Linked DNA regions of Lonchura striata. The protein of the gene in region 2 purifies or fractionates together with the protein of the main gene of each other region. This does not show direct contact. Links are inferred from orthologs where the notes say so. Each region holds a gene or a part of one and is shown on either strand. Other genes may lie near its edges.

Region 1 (7,237 bases), on a different chromosome or scaffold from region 2:
TCTCCCCCTTTTATTCTCTTCAATCTCCAGTAAGAAGAAGGACTAAAGTAATAGCAGCCATGTCTCCTGAGCATAAGCTGGTTTGTCCCTACACACAACAGACAGTACCTGTGCGAAGTTTTCTTGATGGTTTTACTGGTATTTTCTATCTCTGATCTCTCCCATATGCAATAAAACTCTTCAGGTCATACCAGAATTAGGCAAAGAAATCAGCACTAACAGGCTTTCAAGTGCATATCTGTCCAAGGCAAGTATTAACAACTCTGCCACTCCCTCCCATGTCCTAAGTTCTGGGCACGGCCCCCAGAGAGGGACAAACTCTTCTTGGCACATTATGTAATCTACATGCATATTAACATAATAAAATTTTCTTACAGAACACAGGCTGCCATACTTTGCATGGCAGTAAGGAAAACCTAAAATAGTTAGATCTCTTAAGTCATCAGCAGTACCTTTTAAAACACACACTCTTCCATCCTATTCCTTGTCCAAATTCTTAATAGCTACTTTTTCCTGCAGCATGCCCCATGCACCAGCCATGGGAAATGCTCCTGTGATATTCCTCCACCCCACAGTAGCCCAACTGCAAGTTCAAGGATGACAATATTAAACTCAAATGAAAAGCCTCATTAATCATTACTCCCAAGGAAGAGAGCACATGCTTTGAAAGCATTCCAAATAGGTATGCATCAGGGTCAACTCATTTAACTGGCCATTATCAGATCTACAATGGTCACAAGAAACTTCCAAGAATGGTTATTTCAAATTTATTTCCAAAAGGGTAATTTGCTTACAACAATAAAATAGCACTATCTTATGACGTAGAAGTGATTTTGCAAGCTTGGCATAACTTCCTTTCATTTTAGCTCTGATAAATGTTACAGAATCCATGTGTCTTTGTGTTTTAGAAGGCTTCCACATCCTTTGCATAGGAAACAGTTTGTTTTTTTTCTAATTCCTTTTTTAGTAATTGATGTACTCACCAGCTGTTAAAATTGAGTTTTCTTAAAAAGAGGAAGTGGCATTCAGATTTTAAGGAGTATGTTAATGCAAAACTTTTCTGCAACATTATAAATAGTGGTATATGCCAGCAGAATACAGTTTTTTAATGTGCTACACTTGTCAGGGCATTTGTTCCAGATGTTGGTAAAAACTACAGGAATTTCTCTAAATTTGCAGTAAATAAAAATACTATTTGAACAACTAATTATGGTAAATTAGCTTATACCTAAGATTTAAGTTCATTTTCCTCTTACATATGAAATTTGTATGTGGCCCACTGTTAGTCATAATGAACCTTCAAAGATAACCACAAGTCACAGCTCATCCAAGTTTAGTGAGGATGAACCCAGGTGTGCATTAGCTTTCATTGTGGAAATAGCCCAGGAGTCTAATAACTGAACCTTACTTACATTTTCTACAAAAAAAAAGTAAAGAACTCAGTTTTCTGCATCTGGAGGTACCATTTAGAGGTATGTAAAGGTGCCATAAAGTAACAGCAGCTCTCAGTGGTTAAGTCCTTTCTGAAGTCATCTTTCACTAACGAAAAGATACTTCTACCTGTTGATCTTTACTTATGAACACTCTGGTGACAATAAGCTTGAAAAAGTTTTATAACTGAGAGATGTTAAAAAGCTTTTATAAACATTATAAAAGAAATACATTTCCACAACACTAAAGCTTCCACATTAACGTCTTACACAACTCTTTAAGAAACTACCCATGAAATTAAATACAGCAATTTCTTCTACCATTTACTGCTCAACCCAAGGAGTTTTAAAAAACTGCAACAAGAATGTTGAACTCAAACCCAGAGACAGACATACTGACAAACCCCTCAAGCTCCAGACTTGGTGGAGGTTAAGGAATTATTCACTACATGCCCACCTGGCTGAACAGTCTGTCACACAATTTTCACATGGCTTTTTATGCTACCCTCAAATACATTCCTATTATTGACTGTAGTCTGTTTACAGCATTTTAAAAAACTTTCTTCATTTATAGTCAAGCTTCTTACCCCAAGACCAACACACAGTAAAAGTGGGTATGAAGTGATGTATATAGATACACGTGGCTGTAAGAATATATGTGTATCAGCATACTGACATACACTTTCTAATATACATACAAAAAATACCTTCATAATGTAATTTTTAACATAATGAAATTCTGAGTTTTAAAGTTTAGGAATTCAAATCAATTCTAATTTTAGTTCAAGAATGTCTTCTTTCCTATCAGCAAGGCCAAAGAGGCACAAACTTGCCTTCTGTTAAGAGATGGACGAAAGCTGCTTTTAAATAAACAGACTTAACCTTTCTCCAAAGCAGAGCATGTTACAAAAACAGAAACAAAAGATTTCCAAGATCATCACGTAATCGCTCCTTAAGAGAGCTCTCTATACATAACATCTTTATTTTAAACCTGCATGCAAAACTATCCAGCCCAACGCTGAAAAAATAATTTGAAGCCTTTTGAACGAAGTAATTAATGCAGGATCTGATCTTCAAGCACATAAGGTCCCCCCTCACCCCCCCCCCCCCGTCGTAACCCTGGAATCTGTCACACCCAAGAAATTAAATCCGTCAGCAGGCCTCACACCCAGCTTGTTGTCCTCCCTGTCGGCAGCACCAGAGCCTTCCCCGCTCTCCTGGCACGGCCCCGCCACTGCACGCGCCTGCTTCCAGCTGGGGCTGCCGGCACCATCTTGGAGAGGCGCCCAGCGCCAGAGCTCGCTGTCCGGAGCCGGCGGGCACCGCGCACCGCGGGCTCGGAGCGATCCGCGCCCGCGCACTGCCCGCGGCCCCCGCCGCCGGCCCGCCCGCCCGGCGCGACGCCGCGGAGCCGCGCCCGGTCCCGGCGGGGCAGAGCGCGGCCCCGCCGCGCTGCCGTGGCTGCGGCCGGCCCCGCGGCACTCACCCGCTGCTCATGTTCGGGGCCGGGCCGGGCGGAGGAGCGGCGGGAGCGCTACTGCCGGGGCCCGGCGCCCCGAGCCTGCGCCATTCAAACGCCGCCGCGGTGCACGCCGGGCCGCGCGCGCCGCGCCACGCCCCGCCACGCGCGCCGCGCGGCATCGCGGCGCCCCCTGCCGGCCGCGGCCTCGCGCCGCGCCCCGCCCCGCCCCGCCCCTCCGCGCCGCGCGCTGCTGCGTCACTGCGCGCGGGGAACGCCGGAGAGCCCCGGCATGGAGCGGCCGGGAGGGAGCCGGGGAACGCCGGAGAGCCCCGGCATGGAGCGGCCGGGAGGGAGCCGGGGAGCGCCGGAGAGCCCCGGCATGGAGCGGCCGGGAGGGAGCCGGGGAACGCCGGAGAGCCCCGGCATGGAGCGGCCGGGAGGGAGCCGGGGAACGCCGGAGAGCCCCGGCATGGAGCGGCCGGGAGGGAGCCGGGGAGCGCCGGAGAGCCCCGGCATGGAGCGGCCGGGAGGGAGCCGGGGAACGCCGGAGAGCCCCGGCATGGAGCGGCCGGGAGGGAGCCGGGGAACGCCGGAGAGCCCCGGCATGGAGCGGCCGGGAGGGAGCCGGGGAACGCCGGAGAGCCCCGGCATGGAGCGGCCGGGAGGGAGCCGGGGAACGCCGGAGAGCCCCGGCATGGAGCGGCCGGGAGGGAGCCGGGGAACGCCGGAGAGCCCCGGCATGGAGCGGCCGGGAGGGAGCCGGGGAACGCCGGAGAGCCCCGGCATGGAGCGGCCGGGAGGGAGCCGGGGAACGCCGGAGAGCCCCGGCATGGAGCGGCCGGGAGGGAGCCGGGGAACGCCGGAGAGCCCCGGCATGGAGCGGCCGGGAGGGAGCCGGGGAACGCCGGAGAGCCCCGGCATGGAGCGGCCGGGAGGGAGCAGGGGGATGCCGGAGAGCCCCGGGATGGAGCGGCCGGGAGGGAGCCGGGGAATGCCGGAGAGCCCCGGCATGGAGCGGCCGGGAGGGAGCCGGGGAATGTTGGATGATCCCGGTGATGGAGCGGCCGGGAGGGAGCAGGGGGATGCTGGATGATCCCGGTGATGGAGCGGCCGGGAGGGAGCCGGGGAATGCCGGGGAGCCCCGGCACGTAGCAGGCGGGAGGGAGCAGGGGGATGCCCGATGATCCCGGTGGTGGAGCTGGGGGTCCGCGCTCTCTGCCTGTCTGCCGGCCGCCAGTGACGAGCCATGGTTAGGAGTGTGCAATGCCCAGACTGACTGAGAAACCCACGGTAGCTCCACGCTCTGCTGCATTATCACAGAACCACAGAATAAGCTGATTTGGAAGGGCCGCACAGGGATGTCCAAGTCCCACTCGTGCATAGCACCATCCCCAAGAGTCACAGCATGTCCTCGAGAGCACTGCACTCTGCCAGGCTGTGCTGTTCCAGTGCTTAAACACCCTTTGGATGATAAACCTTTTCCTAATTCCAACCTAAGTCTCCCCTGACACAACTTCAGGACATTATCTTGGATCCTGTTACTGGTCACCGCAGAGAAGAGATTGGTGACCCCTCCAATTCCCCTGAACAAGAAAGTTGTAGACTGCAATGAGATTTCCCCTCAGTGACCTCGGCCACTCCTCATATGGCTTCCTTTCAAAACCTTTCACCATCTTCATTGCCCTACTTTGGATGCTTTCCAATAGCTTAATAACATCTTACACTGTGGTACCCAAAACTGCCCCCAGCACTGGAGGTGAGGCTGCCCCCAGTGCAGAGCAGAGCAGAGCAGAGGGGACAGTCCCCTCCCTTGCCCAGCTGTGATGCTGTGCCTGATGCACCTCAGGACACAGGTGGCCCTCCTGGCTGCCAGGGCGCTGCTGACTCTGTTCAACTTGCCACAAACCAGGACCTACAGGTCCCTTTCTGTGGTGCTGCTTCCCAGCCTCTCGTTCCCCATTCTGTCCATACATCGAGGGCTGCCCATCCCAGGTGCAGAATCCAGCATTGTCGCTTGTTGAAGTTCATATAATTGGTGATTGTCCAGCCCTCTGAGATGGTGTCTCTGCAGGGCATCCCTGCCTTTGAGGGAGCCAACAACTCCTCCCAGTTTTGTATTATCTGCAAATTTGTTTAGTATCCCTTCTAGTCCACAAAGGGCTCAAATTTTGTAATGAAAATATAATTTCTGTCAAGGTCCCATTTGTGTTTTCAGAAGCACACAAGTTGTACTCTGGCTACTCAGCAATGACTGTGGACCATCTAGCCGCTAATACTGACAGGTTCATTATGGTTATCCTAGGGGTCAGCTGTAGTAAGTTCCATTAAAAATTCCCACTTCTTTTATGTATTTTTCTTTGATTTTGTTTTTGATAAGCATACTTTCAGTTGTTTTAAATTTGTATGTGGATCTTGAAAAACAGTTCCCTTAGCTAAATAGTCTTATACCTTTTCTGAATATATTCCTTAGCCTATTTTCCTTTAACTTACTTTTTTTCTCCCGTCTTTTCCAAATTAAAGAAAAAATTAAAGTTTCTTTTATATTTTTGGTTTGGTTTTGTTTTTTTGGGGTTTTTTTGTGGTTTTTGTTTTGTTTTGTTTTGTTTTTTGCTTTTTAAATTTAAACAGTTGATTAATTTTTTAATATTTAAATTTTTTTGCAAGACCTAATTGTATATTTTCAAGTAAAATAATTACACATGACAGATTCCAGTTTTTGTAGTCTATCTTAGAACAATGCTTTTTACTACTTACTGTGACACTAAGTGTGATGTGGTAGGATGGCTATGGACAAAAGATGGAGTAATTTTAGTCATTAGAAACATCATGATTGTGAATGGATTAAGCAGGTTATCATGAGAAAAGCTGACCAAGAAGTTTTATATATACACACTGCACACATTTCTGTAGCTGCCCTAAGTGAAGCTGTACGAAACATGAAGGGAGGAATGAACAGTAAGATAGCAGCAAGGAGCTTTGCTTGTCCGTTCCCCTCTCTCAAGGGCAGCTCTTTTGCAGTTCCTTCCATGGCTCCCCTGTAAATGAGTTCTTTGTGCATGGCCTGACAGATTTGAACAGTCCAGTCTTCCAGATGGGTGAAGGAGTCTAACTAGATGTCCTGGTAATTATGGTAATTATAGTGGGACAGGATTTTATAAGATCATGATATGTAATCTCAATCACGTTTTTCTGCAGGAGTGAAAGAATATAGATTCAAATATATCCAGGTCTAACATGGAAATGTACACTTATTTATATTCAAAAATTACTTACTGGCTCCTTCCTCTTGTATTCTCATATTTTCAACCTTCATACTGGTACTTACTTGCATTTTTAAAGAATTCTAGTGATTACATCTGGTTATAGAGAAGTTCAGAAATTCTGTAAGTTTTTTCCCTAGCAGTTATCTTGAACTCTAAATTATATGTTTTATGTCATCTTCACAAATGTAAAAGTAGCTTCTCTGACAATTTATAGTGTATAACATAAATTTTGATAGCAATTGTGGATGCAATACAGAAATCTATTGTGTACTAATTAAAAGCTTGAATGCAGCAGAGCAAAGTACTTGTGCAGAAGGCAAAGAAAATGAGGATATAGGATGAATAATAAATTCACTAAAACTGGTTCTTCTGTTCTGAGCTGATTAAGGTGTTCTGACTGTGTAGTGTTAATACCAGTAATGTGACTCTTTTCCTGAAACCTGCAAAAGGGAATTCTATAATGATATTTTTTTCTTATGATGCCTACTCCATTTATTTCCAGATTGCATTTCTCACAAACAGCCTACTTGGTTTTTCTATTTCTCCTGACATTTTTTCTGCAATAAACTTTTCCTTCCAGATGTTGCATAAGTAGTACTATCCAAATTGATGCAGTAATTTTACCAGCCTGGCTTCTTTTTCATTCCTCCTTAGGCAGAATTTAAAGTCAATAAAATGCACTGACATTTGTGGACCTTCTCCCAGATCTGCCTGGGCTGTGCAGTGGATGGGAGATTTGAGGGGGCGGTAGTTACTCCAAGACTATTAACTGTTTAATCCTTAGCCCTCAGGTTGGAGACAGGATGGCTCAGGCAATTGGTAATGGGATAAAGCTTTTCACCTCTGAATTGCCAGCTCTGGGCCAGAATAGTAGGACAGGTTATTTCCACCATCTGGTGTCTGGTCAGCGACCCATATGAGGGAAATCAGTAGCCATCCCTGCTACTGGCGAATAGCTTTACAATTAACCCCCCTCGCCCCCCAACGCTTACTGTGAGAACGATTGCGCCACAGACAGCTCCAAATGAGCACGAGGGCTAAAAATCCCTCTAGAAACGTGACGACCAGGACTCAGCACACTG
Region 2 (6,886 bases):
TTATAATGGTTAGAAGATGGTTATGAGAAGTTTTCTCAAAGAAGTTGTTAGTTGCTTACTATAACGAAAATGAGTTTGCAGCTTAATAAAACAGTCCTGTTCTGCCTTTCCCACAGCTGTTGAAATAGAGTAGCTTTTAAGATTAATTTCATTTAGCTTAATTATTATAAAATGGTTGCAGTGCATAACTACTCCATTTTATATATTATGTAAAAAAGATTGCTTTTCATGTAAATAAACTTTAAAGATTATCCTCCTTCTTAGTAAGTATCCCAGTAAAACTGGTCTACTTGTCTTGGAGCAAAGTATAATATATTGCTGGTTAAAGGTAATTTAATCAAGCCTCTGCTTCACCATTTTTGAAGTGTGCAGAGAAAATAATGTCAATTCATTAAATTGACTCTTAAAATTGCCTTTTCATCTGAGTATATTTCTCCTCTGCCTGCACTATAGTATACGATGGTGTATTCCTGTTTAATACTATTACTGATCCTAGGCAATTTAAAAATAATTCTAAAAAAGAATAAATAAGTGTCCTGTAAAGGCACCATTGGTCTAAAAAGAAAAACCAATTGCTTTTATTAAAGGAAATTATTGATTGTTTTAAGGACATGCGCAGGTACTGAAATACTAAATACTCTTTTGCCTTTTTTAAACAAATACAGGAAGTGCTCATAACTTTAGAATTTGGTAGATGCTTCTGGCATTTTCTAATATCATGTGTTAGAAGTTCCTTGTTTGCATTTTGCCACCTGTATGCTGCAGTGTTACGTGTTTCCTTGCAAGAAGTTACAGTCCGGGTTCTTCTCTGAGAAAGTTAGTTACACATGAATGTTGTCACAACTCTCCAGCATGCTCTGCTTTACCTATGTTTTGAAACTTGACATAGATTCAGAGTCTGTTGAGATTCTTCATATTTGCTGCTTAAAACATGGGTGTTTCACTGGTGACCTACAATGGGGATTGGTTTATACAGGCAGTGGAGAAGAGAGGCTCCTAGCCAGCAGTTGTGGAGTTCTGCAGTAAGTTTTAGTTCAGGTTACCTTTACTTTGTAAAGCATGAAAACAAGTTTCTCTTTTATGTGTCCTTGTATACATATTAATTGTATTTATAAAATGTTCTATAATCCTATAACTTGTACTGTAAATAGTATATGATATTCAGTGGCATTCTATCCTCGGGCAGGCCCTCTTGCTGTATCTTTTCTATTTTCAATTTGTAATAGAATCTATAGAATTTTTGTCTTAGAAAGTCTCTTTGAGACTGATGTATCTTCCGCTGGTGCAAAAACTGTGAGTGGGAATGATTTATTTAGACTCCTTTTAATATTATTCAGCTGATAGGCAGTGCAGTGGGTGGGTTCTTAGATTATGCTGCTGTCACTGAAGATACTATTAGGCTTTTGTTTCAGATGTTGTGGGTGTTTCAGATCAGAACTTAAAATCTGTTTGCTTTATTTCAGCCAAAGCAAAAAAGATAATGAATTGGGTCAATGTCATACTAAAATGTTTTGAATGCCTTAAGATGGTCATGATAAAGGCACTATTCAAGTTTACTGATTTATATATATCTATATAGATATATATAGACATATTCTGTGTGTATATGTATATATAATGTCCTTTTTGTATTATAAGACTGTCAGTTCTTTGGAGTCTTCTATTAAATACATAGACCATCCCACAATTCTGCTTAAGCGGATCATTCATTTATTCTGTGTCTAGCTAGTAAACTTAACAATTTTGCATTATCTCATGGCCATAGTAAGTTATTCACCAATTTTTTTGCGTGTTCTTTACTTGTCTCGATCATGACTGGGCATCCTGTTTTGCCAGGTCTCTGCATTCCTGCAATCCAGCTACATGTGTGCCATGCAATCTCTGAATGTGCATTGGCACACTTGCGTCTTTGGGGCTTATGGGGTGGTGGCTTGGACTGTGATCTCCAAGACTCCTGGTGTTCATGTGAAAAGAATGTGCATATTTGCTGACTTTTCCAGTAGGTACACTGGAGCATCCATCCCCTCCATCCAGGACTGCCAGGTTTCCAGTTTGTCAGTGCCCAGCAGTTGAGCAGTGGAGGCTTTCTTGCCCCTTTTGACTGAACACACAGCATTGTGTGTTTGACCTGGGGCATGGGATGCGAGTGGTTGCACTGACACCTTCTTAAAAGCTATTTAGAATAAGAGAAAGAATTCCAGCTCTCATGAGCAGCCTAACTGAATTATCAGCTACTGGTAGTCAGTGGCATTCTGAGTTATAGAAATTGTTCTCAGAATCGGTTTCTGTAGTGTAACACTTCATGGGATAATAGACACCACACTGGACCTTTATAAGAAGTGAAAATCACATTCTTATTTTGGCTATTCAGACATAAAATGTAAACATTAGTTGCCTAATTACATTTATTTTTCTGTCCTCCTTCACATCCCTCTTCAAGTTCTGTTTATGCTGCAGCAGTTCTACTGTTTAACATTAAAATGGCACACATGTAACAGCAGGAATGCTGTTGTATTTGGCTGTCACCTCATGTTTGTAACCTGTTCTGTATACATGTTGATTTTCAAGAGATCAATTTGTTGGTATTCTTTCTGTGTCCTCTGCTGCCTCTTTCATCAAAATAAGTAAATCTTACGAATCACTGTTACTATTTTTTATTATTATGCATACATTATGGACCATGAAGCTGTTCCTTAAGAAGACAATGTATCACAATTTTCATCTGTGTTTGTGAAAATCCCCTTCTTGAAGTGCACATCTCAAAGTGCTAATGCAGAAACTAATGTGTTATTGGAGAGACTGAGTTATATCCTGATTCTGCTATACTTGTGGAGGAGTCTGTGGAAGTACAGTACATTTTTTATTCATTAGCCCACCTACAAAGGGGAGACAGAAAATTCCTCCAGCTCTCATCAACCAAGTGATGTGATACACTTTAAATTTTAGAAACTCATCAGCAGCTGTGTCTTGATAGCTGAAGTAATGTAGGAATGGTTGTTTTAAACGTAGACATTTGTTAGAAATGGGAGACTAAAACTGCCAGTTTAAGAATGGGTAGAAATAGAATAACAAGACGAGTAAGAATGGATGTGATATAGTTAATTAAAGGATGACATACTGCTGTGGGGGTTTGGAATTGACCCTGAAGGACTATAATAAACCTCCTGCATTGTGCTCAACCTTTAGATCCTCTTTGTTGCTAAGCAGCTGAGTCTCTTTAGACAGGTGACGAGGTACTGCTCCATCAAGGATACTTAAGGGCAGTTTCCTGGGCTGACTCCACTCGCTCGGCAGCAGGTTTTCCTCAGCACTCTTAGACACGTTTTCTTCCCCAGAATAACACCATCTGTGAAAGTTTGAAGGAGTGCAGACAAGTCACAAGCAAAGAACATGTGCTTGCTTGCTGTTCACTTGGCGAAACTCACATTTGGGAGTTACGGAAAGGAAATAGCTAAAGGGAAGCAAGCCATCGGCCACCAGGGCGGGATCTCGAGTGCGGTGGGGAAGGAAACGTGTGTTCGTCACCTTCGAGTCACGAAGGCAGGGAGCGCTCCTCGCACAAGCATTGGTGGTTCAGTGGTAGAATTCTCGCCTGCCACGCGGGAGGCCCGGGTTCGATTCCCGGCCAATGCAACTGCCCTTTTCTCGTCTCTTTTTCTTTCTTGTTTTTTTTCCCCGTTACTCTTTAAAATTTAAAAACAAAACAACCCTTCGCTCTTAGTTATAACGCTCAAACGTAAACCAACTGCTCGTCGGTCCGGCTGGGTGGGCCTTCTCCCCGTCCTCCCAGGCTGGAAGTGACGCAGCCGGATTTGCCTTCAAAAATTGCCGGCGGCGGCGGCGGGAGGTGGAGGGCAGGGCCGGGGCGGGGCCAGCGGCGCTGCGGGAGGAAGGGGGCGGAAGAAGCGGAGGGGTCGTGGCTGGTGCCGCCGTGAGCTGCTGCCGCCGCCGCGGGAGCGAGCTCCGGAGAGGAGTAAGTGACGGGAGGGGCCCGGGGTCCGGCCGGGCCGCAGGGAGCGGCGGGCCCGGGCCGGCGGCGGCCGCGCCCCGCGTGGCGGGGCACCCTGAGGGTTCCCGGGCACGGGCGGCTCCGGCTGCTCTGCCCGCGGCCGGAGGGCGAGGGGCCGCGGGGCTGCTGTGGCGACAGCCGTGACCACGGAGCTCGTTCTGTCGGGGCTGTGCTCACACGTGCTCGGCGCAGCTCTGCCCGGGGCTGCCGCTGCCCGCAGGTGCGGCCGGCGCTCCCGGCCCCGCAGCCCGCCCGGGTGCGCTCCCGGGGCTGCTGGCACCGGCCCGGGCACGGAGCGCTGCTTCCCCGGTCTCCCTTCACCCTCCACCTGTTTTGGCGGTGTGGCGTTTTTTGTTAATGTGCAGTAATCTGCGGCGATGCAAGCTTTCTCTCCAGACAGAAGCTGTCGGCAGCAATTTCAGATACCTATTCAGCCGCGGACCTCACTAAACTTCCAGAGAAATTTGTTAATTTAACATTGATCGCCAAAAAGAATGCCAGCCCCTATGAAGTGGGGAGAAGCCTGTTTAATAAAGCCTTCTGAAAGGCTTAGCCTGGAAAACGTAAAATGACATGCCACCCATGTGTTTCTACCTAGTGATTGATTTTTAAATGTTTTTTATTTTCCACAAACTGCCAGCCATACTTAGGTTTGTGGCTGCTGATGGTTCTAATGCTGTTACTGCTAAATACAGCAAATGCATGAGAACCATTTTGTTTAGTATCCAGTAAGTCTGGCATCTCTCCTTCCCCAGTAATCAACGCAGTCATTTGTTGAGACCAAATGTTGCTGGCCATGGATGTTATGAAGAAGAGTATTAAAGGTGGAAGCAAACTCAGAGGTGATGCAGGCCATTGTGGCATCACTAAAAACTGATTCCTGAAAGCTGTTACTGTGAGGTGTTTTTTTTCTCCTCTGGCTTGCCAAGAGAACTTTGCAAATATTACAGGGTTGCTTTGATGTCAGAGCCGGTATAGCAGGCTGAAATAATGGAAACATGTGCACTCTGCCAAAATTCAGGCTCTGGCTTAGTCCAGACGTTAAGGTTGGAGCAAAGAACTCCTTGAAAGTATTTTCCACATACAGTTCATGCCTTCCAGTCAGCTGGTCTACCACAGTAATTGACACACTATCAGTCAACCTCTTCTTTTATTTTTTAAAGTTTGGGCGTCTTCTTTGTGTTACAGGATTGATGCAGTGTTTCTGGATTCTAACATACGACTCTGAGCAGAAATTACTTACAGTACTTTCCACTGATGATTTCTTGAACTTATTATGGAAAGCTTGAAGTATCCTCAGGGTTTTCTTGATAATGGTTAGGCTGGTATCTTTCAAATGAAGTACAAAAATAAGTTCCAAAACCTCATTCTCACAAGTTGTAGGGATATTGAACCTTTGTTAGGTTCAGCCCTTGCTGGACTTGGCTGTTCTATACTCTAGAAATATTTTAGGTCCTTGGAGCAAATGATAAAATGTATTTTGCAACTAGAGATGGGTTAATTTCGGACAGCCTTAATACTCACAGCTGGTGTGAAAAGTGGTTATTCTTGTGAAGTCTGTGTGTTTGTACACAGTAAAGAATTAAACTTGGAAGACAAAGTCCTTAGGTTATTTTCCTTGTATCCTGTTCACTGTAAACTTTATGAGCTCTTCACTGTTTCAGCAGCTGTTGGAACTTAGATAACTTCACTGGTCATGATTCATGGAAAGGTTGTGGCTAGTAAGTGCAGACCTGCTGCTTTGACATCCTGTTACGTGATAGCACCAAGTATTTGTAAACACATGTGATGTTGCTAAGTATTTGTAAATACTTTAAAAATTAATAAGTAGTGCAGGATTAGTTTTTGAGAGTTTTAATCCCTTCTGGTTTAACTCTGTATTTGTGTGTAGGGAGTTCTCCACCCTGCTGTACTGCCCCAGTATATTGTCACCTCCTGCCACAAACTTCAGTCTGCTTTCAGATTAGTACTCTGACTCTTCTTTTTCCCCCTTAGAGCTTCTTTACCATCTTCACTTACAAGTGCAGCAGACTCATGGACTCATTAGTATATCAGCTCTGACACTGCCTGAAGTTGTGGCAGCAGCAGTGGCATGTCCAGACATAAGCAGAGCCAGCAGCTTTTTCTGCCTCACTTGTACTCAAGAGCCTTATATTTGGAAGCCACTTCAAAAGCTCTTTTGCTCTCATGAGTCAAGATGAGGCAACAAATTAAATTGGTTTTCTAGTTTAAGCCAAATTATCTTGCATTTTCAGTAGCACTGGTGAGACAGGTAGATTCCAATAGTATTATCAGCTCGAGTGAGCACCTTCTTCCTTCTTTTGTTTCTTCCCATGAGTTGCTAGCTTAGTCTGCTTACATGTCTGTTTATTCTTTCTAGCCTTATATTCTCTGCCCTTTCTAACCTGAAAATGTCATTGACTGTTTTTATTATGTGCAGTGCTATCCTTTTGGTCCCAAGCTTTCATACATTTCCGACTTAGCCTCTTTAGTTTTGTTGTTTATTTTTTTTCTAATTCTAGTTATTTTCACATTTCCACATGAAAACTATTCTTATAAACTTTTCTTTTTCTGTGTACATAAAGTTGCTGTTCTGCTTGGATTGCTCTACAGCATTCAGTGAAAAAAGTTACGTATGACTTCTCTCTGTATTTAAAAGTCTAGTTTGATTTTAGTAGCTTGCTATTACTTGATTTTTAAAATGTCTATTAGCATCTTGCTCAACTCGTGATTTCAGTATGTTAGTCATCAGTTTGAATTCTCAGGACAGGCAAACAGGTGTATCTGGTAGGATGAGCAAGAGTGGAAAAGCTCGCTCCTAAATACAGCAGGGAAAACTTTGTTAACATCTGTGTGATGATCCATACAGCAGTTGAC

What was found. Proteins that work in one complex are often made in the same cells at the same time.
Region 1: the proteins of KATNA1 (region 2) and KATNBL1 purify together in Homo sapiens (affinity purification with mass spectrometry; 3 studies listed by BioGRID and IntAct, counting the BioPlex papers as one, with this or other methods). This does not show direct contact. The link is inferred for Lonchura striata from reciprocal best matches to the Homo sapiens genes KATNA1 and KATNBL1.

The regions. Positions count from the first base shown.
Region 1 is NC_134608.1:31,725,668-31,732,904, forward strand, and holds the start of KATNBL1 (KATNB1-like protein 1), read right to left. Parts: upstream 3,023-7,237; 5' UTR 2,917-3,022; intron 1-2,916.
Region 2 is NC_134605.1:57,553,421-57,560,306, forward strand, and holds the start of KATNA1 (katanin p60 ATPase-containing subunit A1), read left to right. Parts: upstream 1-3,872; 5' UTR 3,873-3,973; intron 3,974-5,127; exon of another isoform or gene 5,128-5,730; intron 5,731-6,886. UniProt on the Homo sapiens protein: Catalytic subunit of a complex which severs microtubules in an ATP-dependent manner. Microtubule severing may promote rapid reorganization of cellular microtubule arrays and the release of microtubules from the centrosome following nucleation.